2 linked regions of the Styela clava genome follow. The main gene of each other region encodes a partner of the protein of the gene in region 2 in a complex. Links are inferred from orthologs where the notes say so. Each region holds a gene or a part of one and is shown on either strand. Other genes may lie near its edges.

Region 1 (7,926 bases), on a different chromosome or scaffold from region 2:
AGTCTTTAGCCTGGGAAGACATATTGAATAGTTTGCAAGTTCAAAATCATGTATTTGTAGGAATGAATCCTCAACATTCGATCAATGAAATGTCAGTTTATCAATACAACAGATATCAGACATATAATTCAACAATTGTTTAACAACATAAAATTTGAAATTGTAGTAGGATTTGTTAGAAATTGTAAATTCTTGGGTGCTTAAAACTAAAATTGTTTTCTTGAAACATTGACTAATCTCCAGTAATATAACACTTTAATTATATTATATATAAATTATTGAACAAGATATTACTGTTAATTTTTAGCAAATAATACCCAAGCCAATGGCTCTCTTTTTCTTAGTTCGCCATGATTGTGAATCAAAAGCAAAATTAAGCAAGTTTCCAACATACTTCATGTCCAATATCAATTTGATCTAGATCGCTGTCATCACCAGCACCGTTATGCGGACTCCGTACTAAAGTTTTTTCTTTATCATCTTTCAGTGATCGAAGTTGTAAGTAATAATAAACGACTGACACAGCTACCATCAGAAGTAAAATTCGAACAAGATTTTTGGCCCTGAGCCTCATTATATATTATGGTATTTATTTATTTCATATACAATGACTAGCAAAATATTAAAGGTAGTGATTTGTTATTTTTGGCATCAAAGCAAAAGAAATTTCATATTTTCAGTTTAGGCTACAGCAAAGAACACACACATAGGAAACTAACACTAATTCACACAGCAACAAAACACAACAATAAATCGTAAACGTGTCGAGAGAACAACAATTTCCAAAGTGATTTGGCTATTCTAAGATTTCTCAAGTGGGGAGGAATTTATATTTTTTTTTCTGAGATTTTTGGTCTTGATGGGGTATTCCCAAACTTCAGCTTGCCAGTCAATATCTGGAGGTTACCCCAGACATCAGAAAGCCGTTTATATCTATAGTGGCCTAGTTGTTACCTATTGTACTTAAAAGACAAAGGACAAGTGTACTTAAAAACAATCAAGATTACAGTATAAAAATATATGAATAATCCAATTCATAAAAAAAACCACCTATTTTTGTTATTACATAAAAAGTACATAGGCAATCAACAACAAAAACCTATGAGACACCCTCATCAAAATGACTTGGAATTCAAGAATTTCCCTTTTTGTTAAATTTCAATTTCAAATAATCGAAATTGGGATATCCAAAAATCATATTGAACACTTAAAAATAAAAAATTTTGGTCATGCTTACACAACGCTCGGATTTTTTTTCATTTTCAAACCAAATGATTTTATGAATTTATATTTTGCATTACCTGTTAGAGAACATTTAACTTTTTCAGGGAAAACATCTATGTTGTACTAAGCAAACAAGAGTATGAAATTGAAAATCAGCACCATTATAAAGCCTTAATTAACCTCAGTTTTTGCATAGCTATGCAATTTTGTACCTGCATACACACTCTTTCCATAATTTATCAGTGGGTATTCCAAAATACAAAAAATTTGAATATCAACAGACAACAGTGGAGAATATCAAAATTCTGAATGCTGATTTTTTGGATGAGATAATCTCATGCATCCTTTATCACGTTTAACGCGATATTGTAGAAGTTTGCCATATTTTTTCAGAAGCTGCTTCCAGTAACACTTCACTTCCGACATTGTTAAGTATTGTTCAATAAATTCACGTCCTCTTGTAGCAATATTTTTAACAACTTGATCATTTTCTTTGGCAAATTTTAGTAATTGTTCTACAGCATTCAAATTGTCTTGGACAGGAATATAATGAACCCATGGTTTCAAAGCTGGATAAAAAAATTCAATCCAATCACTTCCCACATGGTATACAAGGGAATCACACAAGAATAAATGCTTTAATCGGAAACTCGCAGCAACACCTCGAAAATTGAAAAGATATTTATATTTACAATGTTCGAGTAGATGGACTGGCTCCGCAGGTTCTGCTCCCAATGTATCTTTATCAGATTTCCAAGCTTGATTTTTTGTATATTGAGCATCCACTAAATCTGGCTTTGATCGAGACAGTAAAATCAATGGATCCCTCATCGCTGAGGTTCTAGACCCACGAAAATATCCCTTATTTTCTTTGCGATTCCAAGGCCATTCATTTGACTTTGCTTTTAAAGACTTCATCATTTCATCCCAGCGACCTAGCCCTGTCGGATATATTGGCCAAACAGCTGGACCGCCCTCCCAAAAGGTCCATGCTGGATACATGATGTCAATATGCTGTGAAACAACTTTACTAAATGAAAACACAGGTCGAGGATCAAGGTCTCGTTTGTTTGTTTGAGGCCAATCTCTTACATTAATAATCATCTCCATATCAGGAAGATCGTCAAGAAGTTGTGTTATAAAATGTTCAATTCCAGAACATCTTGATGGAAACATGCATTTTTCTTCTCGATAAAGAATATTATCAATGATTTGATAATGAACTCCATACTTCTTAGCTCGTTCAAAATCCTCTTCTTTAATTCCACCCCTGTTTTGCCATATTTTCAAATCATTATCTATAACATTTGAATGGCAGGTGCAGTTGCCTTCACATGGTTTATAATTTTCCATTGCATTCTTGATGGAATCAAGATATTTTGACCAATCTTCAGAATCTTTGGTCAAGCATAGATTGTGTAACATAATAAAAATGCATAGACATGGTATAATCCAAGTTTTTCTTGCCATGTTGGTTACAGCATACAGACACCACCAAGTTACCAGAATCTACCAAAACCTAATTTACACACTAATACATTAGGATAATATAGCACACTTCCTAATACATTCTCTGCATAAATATTGTTAGTTAGATCTTGCAGTCCCAGTAAAAATTTAAATGAAAATAGCCAATTTTCCAGCTTGAAGAAAGTTTGAACTGTACGATCCTGTTCCGATTGCAATCACAAATGGGCACTGTAAGCAAAAAGTTACAGTGAATTTTCTGTAGAGTCACTGGGCGAATAATTCTTCAGAATAAATCTGATTACCTAATAGTATAATATTTAGCCATTTGTGTTCAATAGAATAGTATTATTCAGAACAACATTATTCATCACAACATCAACCCAGCTTGGTAACAAGGGCAAGCACATTTTATTTTTATTTGAACTCTGTCAGCATGAACAAATATTTAAAACAAATATTTTTTTTCAAATCAACATACTGTTGAGTGAATACCTATTTCTTTTTGCACAACTCTAGCAACAACAGCATTCTGGCATTTGGTTTAATTTCACTCAGCAGTCATTTTTATATCTTTTTAAGTAACACGTAAGTATATTTTCAAAAGTATATTTTCAAAGGTATATTTTTGAAATTTTCAGTCAAAAAAAAATAACCTTTTCTTTACCGGTCTTACTACTTACTGAATACAGCGCGAAACACCGCAAAGAGCGCGAAACAGCGCAAAAGAGCGCGAAACAGCGCAAAATAGCGCGAAACAACGCAAAACAGAGGGAAACAGCGCAAAATGGTGGGGAAACAGCGCAAAAGAGCGCGAAAGAGCGCAAAACAGAGGGAAACAGTGTGAAGCAGAAAAAAATTTTGCAATGAGTTCGGGGCACCTTGTTTTGAGTTGGATTACCACGGCAGCAAATTAAAAACACAAACCAACGTATGTAGCCAGTAATGCTGTAATGGCAGGTCTGCCCCTGCTGGTGACACATTTTGGGTACCATAATTTAGAACATTTTCCATGTGGATATGGTTGGCTTTAGGGTTAGGGTTAGGTAAAAAGGGACCTCCAGAAGTATGTGCACCAAGATGGCGCACAACCTGAAAATAGTATGTGTGTGTGTGTGTGTAGCGGATTCAGGTTGTGCGACATATTGCTGCACATACTTCTGGAGCACCAAAAAGGTAGATAAAATTTCGCATGATGACCTATAATCCGGTACATAACCTTGTAAATATACCGGAAATCATGCCATAAAACCATGGCGAGAGGCGCCGTGGTTCTTTCGTGGCAGGAGGTGGTAATAACTGCGTCTCCTGTTTTGCGCTGTTTCCCTCTGTTTTGCGCTGGTTTCCTTTTGTTTCGCGCTGTTTTCCTCTGTTTTGCGCTGTTTCGCGCTCTTTTGCGCTGTTTCGCGCTGTTTTGCGGTGTTTCGCGCTGTATTCAGTAAGTAGTAAGACCCTTTCTTTACTCCATTTACATTTATCTGGAATGAGAATGTTGTTGAACTAATGAAATCTCATTCTGTCATTGTGGCGCAACTGTGCTTTGGTAGTAAAAACTCTTGTAAATTATTCATAAGGAAAGAACTACTTTAATTGAATATTCATCAGTGGCCGCAATATTCAAGACTTGGAATTCTCCTCATTTGCTGACCTCCAAAATATCAAAGATGCTCAAAACTGAAATGTATTTTTTCACAAAGCAATTGGAAAGATTACAGTAATAAAATATACCAACATATTCAATCAGCTTGGATGAGATATAAGATCTCAAAAGCAGTTGATGAAACCTTAAATCAATAGAAAAACAGTTCTCCAATTGCAAAATGTAGTGACGTTTGGTTCAATAAAACAAACACCGTATTTTTCTCTGAAATGAGGGCCTCTGGCACGCCATCAAATGCGCCAGATCATGTCAAGCGTGTTTCAGTAATAATTTAAATCATTGGTGACTGCGTTGGCCTGCAGATTATCAAGATTGCGTTCTTTTTCTTAAAAACCCTTGAATGCTACAGTAATTTTTTTTTTCTTTGGTAAATAAGGATTAAATTTTTTCTAAGGAATCTAATGGTGACATTTTCAGAATGTGCTTACATTTTATTTTATTGCGCAGTACCCTATTAGCAGACACACAGCTGCACGGGTCAAAGCAAACCATGTCTAACTACAGACAGAATTCAGACATATCTCTGTATTTCACTGTAATTCCTGGATCCAAATAATGAATTTTTTTCCTATCTGACTGTCGATGCTGAAATGCATATAGATAGACAAGTGACAGTTCCATTGGATGTAAAAAATGAGTGAAATAAATTGCATTGCAAGGTAACTTACATCTATATACAGGTAAGTTAAGTCTGTAAGTGGATGTCGCTGAATCAGTCATCGAGAATGTGATATAATGCGAGTTATCCCTAAACGTATGAGTAAATATATAGGCTACCTGTTTCAGCTTTTTCTAACTTAATAAAGGGTACCGGTACTGATTTACACGTGTCACAAACATAAAATAACGTTGCAAATGCAGGGTTCGTACAGTAATTTGACCCTTGTGTGTAGCACGTCACAATAGAAAATCAACCGAGCGTGAACAATGAGAAATTTTTATTGCTTTTTTTGCCAGTGCCGAACCACAACAAAGCAGTGGTGCGTATCATTACCTATGGAAGTGCTTCCCAACTAGGGGTAACTACCCCAAGAGGTATAATTTGGCCATTTTTAGGTTGAAATTTAGCTAGACGTTCACTGTTTTATCAATTTCTTTTATAATAGAATTTACATATTTATCCCGGGGGAAAGGAAAGCCGACAAGACGGCTTATTCATATGGCGAACCACGGCCTCTCGTCCGGTTACCATTCCATGTCGGGTTTGGGATTAGTTAGCTACTTGTTTTTCGGAAGCATGGACTTGACGGTGGAGGAAGCCGTAACCAACCAGCGGTTACGTAAACCACCCTACGGCGGCGAGGAGTCCAGCAATCCTCTCGCACACAACCATTCCGCATGGGATTCGAACCTGCGAACCCTCGCAGAGTAATTAGTGATGCGGTGGCGAGCGTATTCCTAACGCTTATCACGATGAGCCGCGCCGCACCGGAATGCAGGAGAGAAGTGAAGAACGAACTATTGCGTGATTGGGATGCCATTCCCGAAAATTTTCTTGTCTTCTCTGTTCTCAGATATGAACTTTATTAAGTTTCGTAACAGGAGTAGCCTGGAAGATGAAACCAGTAGTTTGTGTATATCTTTGAAAGTTACAAAATATAATTCCAATGTAAAATCTCTATCAGCGGCAATGCAGCAGAAGAAGTCTCACTGATATAGAATAAGAAAAGTAATCAAATATATTTGTCTGTCTGAGAATTTGTCTGTACATGTTTAAAAGGTTTATTATTGTGTATTTTTGTATTGAAAATAGCAAAGCATTGTTTTTAATTTTGGTCGGCACGCGGAAGAATTTTGTGGGTAAATTTAGTCGATTTTAGCACGCGAGCCGAAAAAGGTTGCCCATCCCTGGCCTAGGATAAATATAAAAATTCTAGAAAGGGTTGCTTGTAAGTACTCGGCAGTCTCACTATGAAATTCTCCGTGCACTTGACCGTAGCATTGTCGTTTTATCTTTGCTTCGGTGGTCGCTGTCGATCTAGATTCTAGGTCGTGACTTCACAGACATACTTGAAACGGTTGAGATTTCCATATTTAGTCGGAAATCCCCTGGTACTGCTGCAGTATATATGATTCACCCCAAGGGTTTCATCCGAGGTTTACCCAGTAATTTAATTTCAGTATCACGTATTATAGTAGTTTTAAATATGATGTATTATAGTAGATTTCAGTATTGGATGAGGTAAGTTTCTAGAAAAAAAAATTCCATACACAACATATGACAATGCCAGAATAAAAACATTCAAATTATAATTTATTGTAGTTAGTTGGATCATGTCATTGTTTGTATTTTTCCTAAAGAAAGCCTGTCTACATGCAACTCTGGTATTCATTCAACAGCGTTTCGCTGTGAGCGACACAGAATTTTCGTCGTGAATTGCTTTAATTTACTGTTGGGGATTTTAGTTTGATGCGGTTTTTCATTTTCAAGCATGCATTCTGTAAGCATGCATTTTGTGTTGTACTTTGTGGAGTTCTAAAAGTTTGATTGTCAGGACACAGTTTTTATTGAGAACCAGGCTTTGGCAGTTAACCCTTAAATATATATCGGAGCACCGATGGATTCCCAGCCCCGCGACCTGCAAAATATGCATTTTTTAAACTGAACATTTTTTGGCGATTCATTCAATATTTAGGGTGAGGCCCTACGGGCATAACTGAAGATTTTGAAGGGGAGGGGTCTGAAATTTTTAATTGACAAGTTAGACCAAAACACCTAGCAGATCTGATCGGAAGCCGGCAAATGTTAGTTTATAATAGTCCCGATGGTCAACTCTAAAAAGTGTTTCAAGCCACAAATATTTATATGTATGATATAGTAGAACAATTTAGAAGACTTTTATTTTACACTTAAAGGGGGGTCTGACAGATGTTTGGTCTAATATGGTATATCACATGTTGAAGGTACCAGTAATTGGAGCCCTTCATACGCTGGAGAAGCAATGAAATGTTTTTTTTTTAAATATGACTACAAAGTGCGTTGCATGTAGCTGTATAGCATTTATTTTGTTAAAAAATCCTTGAGCTAATCACCTGTTGTAGACTTTGTTGTTTTTTAAATATGACTACAAAGTGTGTTGCATGTAGCTGTATAGCATTTATTTTGTTAAAAAATCCTTGAGCTAATCACCTGTTGTAGACTTTCAGTGTGTAAAATAATTTATGAAATTTTAGCTGATCTACTGCAGTCTTTTGTGTCCAGATGTTTCAGAGAGTAGTAGTAGATTTCCGTTTTTGAGGGAATCCACGTCAGTAATGCTGTTGCATATGTCAAAAAAAGGTATTTTGCAGTTCGCAAAACTTGGCAGTTGCTTCAAATTCAGACATTTCCGAAATTCTAGCAACAGATGCAGGAAGAACCTACAAAGAAAAATTTCCCCGGTTCATCTGTTATTAATGACCCGAATAGGCCTACTGTTGGTAATTTTAGAAATAATAATCATGATCCAAGTATTTAAATGCTCAATAGGAGATAGATCTAATGATAAAATACAAATATCTTCATAAATTCCCTCTAGATGCGTTTCTATGCCAAAAGCCCATCTGGCGACAGCAAATCATTCTTCAAAAGTGAG
Region 2 (8,659 bases):
GCTTTTTAACCGATTTACCGTAAATCCTTACCTATTACTTCGACTCAATTTTAGAATAGCTTCATTTATTCAAGTGTCATTTACACACAAAAAAATCTGAAATCAAGGAAAAAGTTTCCCTATTAACGTATGAGAACAGAACCTGATGATTGTTTCAATGGGACGCGAATGGGAAATCAATGGTCGGTTGTACGTTTTTAGATTATTTGAAAAAACCCCTAACCATATTCACCTGATTTCACTTTCCACGTAAATCATGTTCGATTTCTTTGTGATGTCAATATTCCTTAATTCCTGTTCCATCAAGCAATTCAATCGAAGAGCTCTATTTCTTGTATTTTTGTAATTCGATTTTGATGAATTACCGTCGATACTCATTTTCAATATAATGTGTTATAAAAATATTCGCTATTTACATTTATTTTACGAAAATAGCTTTCTATCCTTCTTTGTACTGTATATTCAAGTCGTATTTTACGCGATGTGGATGACTGCCCACAAAGTCAGTTATAGATAAACCTACGCTCCTCGATGAAAAATAAATTAATATTTTCAATAAATTTAGACAGACCTTCCAGGTAATGTATTCCCTTCTACAAAATCTGAAACTACAGCGTGCATCTGTATCAATGAAATACATTCTGTCAAACAAATGGACATCAAATATATTGTCCTGCACAGAGATTTTTTTTTGAGTGAAGCGATTCTAACGAATGAAGTTAGTAACTGAGATACGTTGTAACTCAACTCAAATTAGCCATAAATATAAATGGTGATTCTTAGCGTAAAAGAAAACAAGAAACACTACACCTGTGCGACAGATCTGTCTAACTTCCAATCTCTAAGTTGCTAAAACCGACAGCTCGTTTTTCCAAGTAGCCTACTTTGGCTGTCGTAAATACCTAGATCAGAAAGGGCCAATCCGCACTTTCACATAGGTTTGATTGTTCAAAATGTCCACATACACAACAATTCTCCGGTGCGCGCCTACTCATATGTATAAATAATACTCTTTCAGGTTTGCTTTCATTAAAAACATTAAAACTGTTCAGTCAGTCTCATGAAAATAATATTTAGGTGTCAACATTATAACAGCGCTGAAATTAAATTGACGCAGTTCAGGGTACTTTTGTATTTGTTCTTTTACTTGTTTGGTTATTTGCGCTAAGCTGGCCTATAAATTAAGCATATATACATATAAATCCACAGGTTTAATAAAGATTTGAGTAACATCTTCAATACTATAAACCGATTTAAAGTAATGAACCTATGATGATGATCAACTGTTAAGGCTAAGAAATATACAAGGTCAAACTTTTTTAATTGGACAAACTTCTTAAATGCAACTTGTTATATATATATACATGTATATATGAAGTGTGTCATGGAAAATCATTTATGCCATTTTATATGTTTCTTTTTTATGCAGTCTATATTTATCTAGCATTCACCGGGTGCTAAATGCTCATGTCTTACACATTGTGGTTGTTTTCATACATTTGCGAAATACTCTCAGTCAGAGATTCACCAGAAAAATAAATCTGTCATGCGAGTTTAGAGTCAATCCTCGATGTACGGAAATACTTCTACAATTATATATATACAATACTATTCAATGGGGAACTGCTGACTCTCGGGTCACAAAGCATGACCCATCATGTTTTTACGAATTAATGCAAAAAACATACTGGACTTAAAATTTCAACAGTAAGCTGAGTATAGTAGGCTACATCGTTACCAACTGCCAACAGTGCCTTCACAAATCTTATAGCATACAATGGATCTGATAACTTTTGTAACTTTCACAAATTGGCATGGTTTTGAGGAGATTGTTTCTGTTTATTACAGCAGTTACATTTTAGAGGTGCAATGGTTCTGGAAGTATCCGAGAGCCATACTCATGTTCCTTTGCCGTTCATTCTTCTTTGGCATTCAGTGTCGTTTGGAAAACATAATTTTGTTGACTTGAATTAGAAATCTGAAATGAAGATGGAGCGGGATGGTGGTGACTTTACTTCGGTTGAGAGTAGATCGAAGACGATAGTAGAATTTTCTTTCAAACTCTTTCGAATGTAGGAGAAGTTTTTACCCAGCATTGTTTACGTCTTTGTTTATACTTATACACGCGAACCCGTGTTTTCACACACTAACATAAGTTGCATAAAATCGAGTATCTGTAATCGTCACAGTCCTGAAAAAAGTGCTGTTTGTGTAAAGATCAAAACTGCGCACTATCTATGAGCAAATGACGCAAATTCCCCTTTTTTCTAATTAAAAAGTTCGTAATTTAAATCCTTGCTATGGATGTTTCCCCGATCATCGATTGCCTTGTTTATTTCTGTAACAATGACCAATCAGCAAAAAAGTAAACGATGACGTAACAATGGTAATTTTTTTACAGACGCCCTGTTCGGTTGTAAACATTACCTCGTTTTCGTGGTTTTGCGTGTTATTTGTCAGATTTCAGTTGTGTTTCTAAAAATTAGTTGTAAATGAAGTAATTTAATTGTCAATATGTCTCCCGATGAGCTTTAGTTTAGTTGCAGTAATCAAAAATCAGTCCCAGAAAAGCTGCGATAGACTATGCTCAAAGTAAAGTAAGCTATCAGTACCTCTTAGCGGCAACTGGTTGTATATTTTGAAAAAAATATGATGGTTTTTGATCATGTAACTAAGTTTGTAAGTGCCAACTTTTCAATAAGCAACCAAAATGTTGCAATAGCAAAGTATGGGGAGAATTTTTCTGGGGTCACGGGTCGGGGAAACATCCTATATATAGATATTACGATTTCAGTTGATTGTAAAACATTGAGTAATGTCAGTGGTATATCAATACGACAAACACTGGACACATATTGTTGTGGAATCTGCGACAGTAGCATAAAAAGTTGATAAAATAGATGGATTGAATTATGCCCACCACTCGTTTCGTGCACTACTGCCGCTATGTCAGTCGCTGGTCTCTCTATGTGCTTGTGCATCCAGCGACTGTTTCGAACCTATTGGCCGATCTAAAAAATATTCATGAATAGCGATCTACATGTAGTTCTTAGTGTCGTTGATTATTGCAAATTTTTAGCAGTAAATTATAGAAAAAAAATATTCGTTTTTCATTCGAGGTGAGGAAATATGATTATCGAATTGATAAATTAATAAACCAGTTCTTTCCGTTCACTTTGCGCTTACCTGTCAAGATGCATACATAGCATTTGGTGTTGCACGAAGCAGACACTGACCAATGACTATCCAAATCACCATGCGCCCAAGTAATAATTATTAGTTGAGCCAACTCATAATATTCAATAAAATCTGCTAACTATCAGATAAAAATGTTTTGATTAATTGATGTTAACATTCTACTCATTCATATTCAAAAATGTATGAGATTATTACTCCATGCACCATTGGCGACTGTCGCTGCTGGACTGGAGCTTGCCTGTCGTGATTTCCTGCAGACTGTCGTAAATCTGTAAATAAAGAAACCCAGACGCGACGGGAACTTGATAGCTGTTTTCTATCTATTGCAAGGAAGTACTAGCCAAGCAACCAGCGGGATATTTGTCGCAAATATGCAATTGTCAATGCAGCGATATTCCAGTATTTGCTTACACACGACAAGTTTAAGTGATAGGCTCAAAACTAGGAGGTACCCAGGTACCGGCAGACCGGTACCGTAATTCAGTACAGCAGTACGGTAATGCAGTTTCTAGGGAACCGGTTTTAGACAGGATTAATAATACCTCTTTGTCAGCGTGTCAGTTAATAAGCTGAATATCTTTAACTGTTGTTAATCATATGCAAAATTCTGAAATATAATTTTCTGAATCTGAAATTTTCACGATCACCATAAGACAGTAAGAAGGAAAGTAGAGACCAAATAATAGTCTTATGTCTGTTCTGGTACCGGTACCGGTATGTTGTATTGACTGACTGTACTTTTTGTCATTTACGACAACATACATAAGACATTATTTTAGAGTTTGAGTACCATACTATAAATCTGTATGCTGGTATGCGAGTATTTCAAACTACTGTTATAAACGTCTATAGTCTGATAGTAGTCTTTGTACCGTATAATTCTAGTGAAGTAGTATAGAACAAACTAAAATTTTTGTCTAATTTCAAACTTTTTTGTATGGTATTTTCTGTATATTTACCAAAAATCTTTTAGCAAGGCGGCGGTGTGGCTCAACGGGCTAAGCGTTAGGAATACGCTCGCCACCGCACCTCTAATTACTCTGCGTGGGTTCGCAGGTTCGAATCCCATGTAGGGATGGTTATGTGCGAGAGGATTGCTGGACTCCTCGCCGTCGTTGGGTGGTTCACGTAACCGCTGGTCGGTTACGGCTTCCTCCACCACCAAGTCCATGCTTCCGAAGACAAACAATACAGTAAAAACTAATCCCATACCCGACTTGGAATGGTAACCGGACGAGAGGCCGTGGTTCGCCATATGGATAAGCCGTCTTATCGGCTTTCCTCTCCCCCGGGATAAATATGTAAATCCTATCCTATCCTATCCTATCCTTAAAAGCATGCAGTCAGTGAATACTGAAATAAGCTTACTCATAAATAATTAAAAATTTCAAAATATTAAATTAATAATTAGATGAAAAATACTAACCATTGTACTGTTGTAAGCAGTGTAGTAAAGAACTAAGGAATTTCTATTGTGTCTATTGGAGTTGGATGTATTACTGCATTATTAAGAATTTAAACAAGAAGATGTTAATTTTGAATTGAACACCTCCAAATAAATAAAAAAAAAAACTAAAATACCTTATCAAAATATTTAATTATGGATATTCTCAAATAAAGTAAACAATAATATGATTTTTATATCTTCGGATTAACAGCTCAACCAAATTCATCTCTTCATTTTGGAGCCCCACAAGGGAGAAAATCTCACACTCAATACTACTTGATTCATGTATTGATTTTTAGGTTAATCTCTTATTAATCTTATGGATGCAATAATGTCACTGAAAGATTAGTGCCATAACTGTATAATAATATATTATAGAATGTGGGAACTGTTTTAATAATCATTATGCTTTTAAACTGCTAGCTTGATATTTCTAGTTAAGCATTTTGAGCTATAGAAGCAAGACAGATTAGTCTGAGTTACAACACTGCCATATTTCCCAACTTGGGAGGGATTCCTTACCAAGGAGAAATATTGTCACTCGAGGAGGAATTTTGCTTTATATATGCTGTAGTCTTACAAGTATTGTTTAGTTCTTTATCCTTACTGTAGCACTTCTCTTGTGCATAACACTAGCTAAAAATCGATATATGAATACAGTTTTTTTATGTGTAGGGAGAGAGGAACATAGAGTTCCAAATAAGTTGAAGAAAGAAATTGAACGAAAAATATTGGGAAGCACTGGTTTATTTGAACGTCTTGGGGGTAGTAGGCTGTTTTTGATATAATGTATTCAATATTTTACAGATGATAGTTCAGTTAATTCCTTATCCACTGAAATAAAAGAAGGAATGTAATCAGCAATAAAGAGATCAAGTTAATTTATTTAATAAGGTTTTATCATATTTTACTCTTGTGACATACATATTGTATCGTATGTCGAGGAAGTGGATTTAACTTCAACAAAAAATGGATTTACCTCAATTTCGGATTATTTTTCAAGCGGCAATTTTTCTTCCATTTTTATTTGTTTACGGTATGTTATTTATTCTATTGTTTCATACAGTGTTGTAGATTGTTTTAGTCAGATATTTATCTAAAAAAGTCAATTGTGGAATGAAAATTCTCACATGAGTACAGTTGAGCTGTATAGGAGCATTCTTCACAATATTTCACCGAAATAAAATAGGAGATTAAATATTGCTTGATATATGTGATTTCTTCCTTGGTCATATTTTTGAGAAAATTTATGTGTATTGACGCTGTTTTATATTTTAGCGAGAATAATGAAGTTAAATAAAAATGTGCTTGGAATATGTTAATTATATGTTTCATTTTTTAGCATCTGGTTGTTCATCTAATGCGGATTGCACAAGTGGCCAAATATGTATAAGTTCAGTTTGCAGGTAATGTTTGCTACGTTCATTTTCATCTATTTATTGCATTGAGTTTTGTGGGAAAAATTTCGTATGTGCTATTGTGTTCAAACATAATTATGGGAAATTTTTCGTCTCTGTTTATTTGAAGAAATCAACAATTTGTATCCGTATGTTTCAAATACATAAAATAGCTGGTTTTCATTTAAATGATTATCACGTTATTGTATATCTATTAATGTTGAATATCAATTTTATGTTAACAGGATATGTATAGACCATTTAATTACATCCTGATTGCGTCTAGTTATAGGTTGTGCATGTATTACACCAATTAATTTGCAATATTCAGTTTTATATTTATTCTGAATATGCCTAATTTATACTATTTATCCGACTTTGTATTTTTTATAAAACAATTAACGGTACAAATAAAATTGTTTTCGAAACTTCTATTTTAAGAATTTATAGTATATTTTGAAAAAGACCCTGAACTTTGAGGATTTTACTCATTTTTAGGCATTTAGGCTGATTTTATTTTTTTCTTAAATTATTTAATATGAATGAATTTTATTCATAAAACTATCACATTATTTCTTTTATAGTGTATCTCCATGTGCTTCATCACCTTGTGATAATAGCGGAACGTGTGGCGTAGTAGCAACATCTTCCACTGACTATACATGGCAATGTTCTTGCCCATCTACATATATGGGTAAGCATATTTGAGAGTTTTGAAAGATTTAAAGTTATTACCACTTTATTGATGTGCCATCAAAATTTACCGTATTCATTTTTTTCACATCAGTCGGTCATGATTTTCTAATCTGAACTATTTTAAGGCATCTATTAGAGTGTGCCAGTTCCTTATATGGAACATTATTATTTACTGATTGTTTGTAATCATTTCTGGCGAATTCTATAATGAAATTTATTCTGTGTTTTCTTTAGGGACCACATGCAGTGATTACAATTACTGTCATTCAAACCCATGCAATCACGGAACTTGTACTGTCGTGTCAAACAGTTTTGAATGCACTTGCACGGATGGCTATTATGGTGACACGTGTGCCAATGATAAAGATGAATGTTCTGACAATCCTAACCTATGTGCGGTATGCCGATTCATTATATTACTCAATAATAGACATTGTTAATTCTATCTTTGTACCTTGGATACTAAGGCTGTTATCATAATTTTCCATATAGCTTACACTATGAAAAATCCAGCAATGTAACCATCGGAGGCAGTAATTCACAGTTTATTTACAGAAATAAAATTTCCGTTCACCTGGAAATTATATTTTTCGATACTGAGTCAATGATGCACACTATATCATATCCCTACATGTATGATGCAGTGACCGTTTTTTTACTAGTAATAGGGGTGATGCATACTGTGTCACTTATGTAAGCAAGAGTTTAAATGTACAGTGGTTAAACTGGGGTAATATGAGCATCAAAAACTAAAATTAGATTGTGTACTATACTATTAAATTGTTTAGCAGCTTAAAGCTTTTGATTTTATCAAGCTGGTGAAACTTGGTACGAAGTCTTCAACTAGTTCGTTCGTTGTTTAAAAAAAATAATGATATTTAAAAAACCCTGATTTTCATGAATCAGGATAGTAGCATCATCAACATGAGTTATGGCACATATCTTAAAGAAATCATATTCTAGAATATTTTCATCATTATGTGACAGCTCACCCTCATAAATTCCGACAATACCATGCCAATATTTGATTGATTATTGATAGGATTATTTAAAAAACTATATTTTTAATTTGTAATAGACTGTTTATCCGCAAAATGAACAGTATTTTAAACAAAGTTTAAGACATATATGGACACCAGACATATATAGACATTTGTGAAACGTAGCTCCCGCTTACGAAACTCTTTATTGTTCGAATCAACTGATTTGCGCTTGTTTTGCTTCAACTTCCGTGATCATTCAATTAAATGTAATTATCAAATTACTTCGGGTACTTAATTATATGATACTTCAGGAATTTTTAATCGCCAGAAGCAAAAGTCTTTAACATAAAATAAAATATCTAAGTATAATGGTGTTACGTTGGGGAACAAGTAGACAATTGTATTTTAATTGACCAACAAGGTGAATTCCTTCAGCTTCTATTATGTATAACTCTTAACCTAAATTGCTTAGTCAAGCGGAACATTTTATTAATTTGTAATGATGAATTTATTACTTTATAAATTTTATGTAATTTGTTTATTGTCTCCCCCTCATGCAAAATTATTGTTACTCTTTTTATGAGCGCATCATCTTTCGCTTGTGAGAATTTAACGACTATAGTTCCAAGTGCCACTTATAATTTGTGCCTCGTTATCGTTTATTGTTATTTAAAATTAAGAGTAGGTGTCTTTTATCATTGTTCCTTTCAAGGATGACTGACTTAATGTATTATAGATTTTCAGTTTCAAACTTTGATTTTCATCTACTCCATACAGGCAAAATTATTGATGTACTGGGTGACTCAAAAAAAACTGAACCCACAAATTTCTTGATCACTTTTGAAGGAAATACATTTAACTCATAAACTTATGTTTGTATATGATTGTATCCAAAAGTTTCAGTAACACTTAGCACAAAAGTTAAGTTCTCTCTAGAA

What was found.
Region 1: the proteins of uncharacterized protein LOC120345158 (region 2) and protein O-glucosyltransferase 1-like are in contact, whole or in part, in a crystal structure (PDB 5UB5), measured with the Homo sapiens proteins. The link is inferred for Styela clava from reciprocal best matches to the Homo sapiens genes NOTCH1 and POGLUT1. Residues at the interface, in NP_060087.3 of Homo sapiens: Asn454, Glu455, Cys456, Val457, Asn459, Pro460, Cys461, Gln462, Asn463, Asp464, Ala465, Cys467, Gly472, Glu473, Phe474, Val485, His486; in NP_689518.1 of Homo sapiens: Met103, Phe104, Pro105, Ser106, Arg107, Asp133, Gly170, Pro171, Ala172, Val173, Trp174, Pro178, Thr179, Gly180, Thr214, Asn239, Gln240, Ala241, Val274.

What each region holds. Positions count from the first base shown.
Region 1 is NC_135261.1:8,666,242-8,674,167, reverse strand, and holds protein O-glucosyltransferase 1-like, read right to left. Parts: upstream 2,995-7,926; 5' UTR 2,695-2,994; coding exon 1,522-2,694; 3' UTR 612-1,521; downstream 1-611. Other genes in the region: polypeptide N-acetylgalactosaminyltransferase-like 6, read right to left, coding at 1-10, 395-574. UniProt on the Homo sapiens protein: Dual specificity glycosyltransferase that catalyzes the transfer of glucose and xylose from UDP-glucose and UDP-xylose, respectively, to a serine residue found in the consensus sequence of C-X-S-X-P-C.
Region 2 is NC_135254.1:15,457,936-15,466,594, forward strand, and holds the start of uncharacterized protein LOC120345158, read left to right. Parts: upstream 1-5,437; 5' UTR 5,438-5,614; coding exon 5,615-5,681; intron 5,682-5,987; coding exon 5,988-6,051; intron 6,052-6,626; coding exon 6,627-6,736; intron 6,737-6,972; coding exon 6,973-7,136; intron 7,137-8,659. Other genes in the region: uncharacterized protein LOC120344620, read right to left, coding at 233-378. UniProt on the Homo sapiens protein: Functions as a receptor for membrane-bound ligands Jagged-1 (JAG1), Jagged-2 (JAG2) and Delta-1 (DLL1) to regulate cell-fate determination.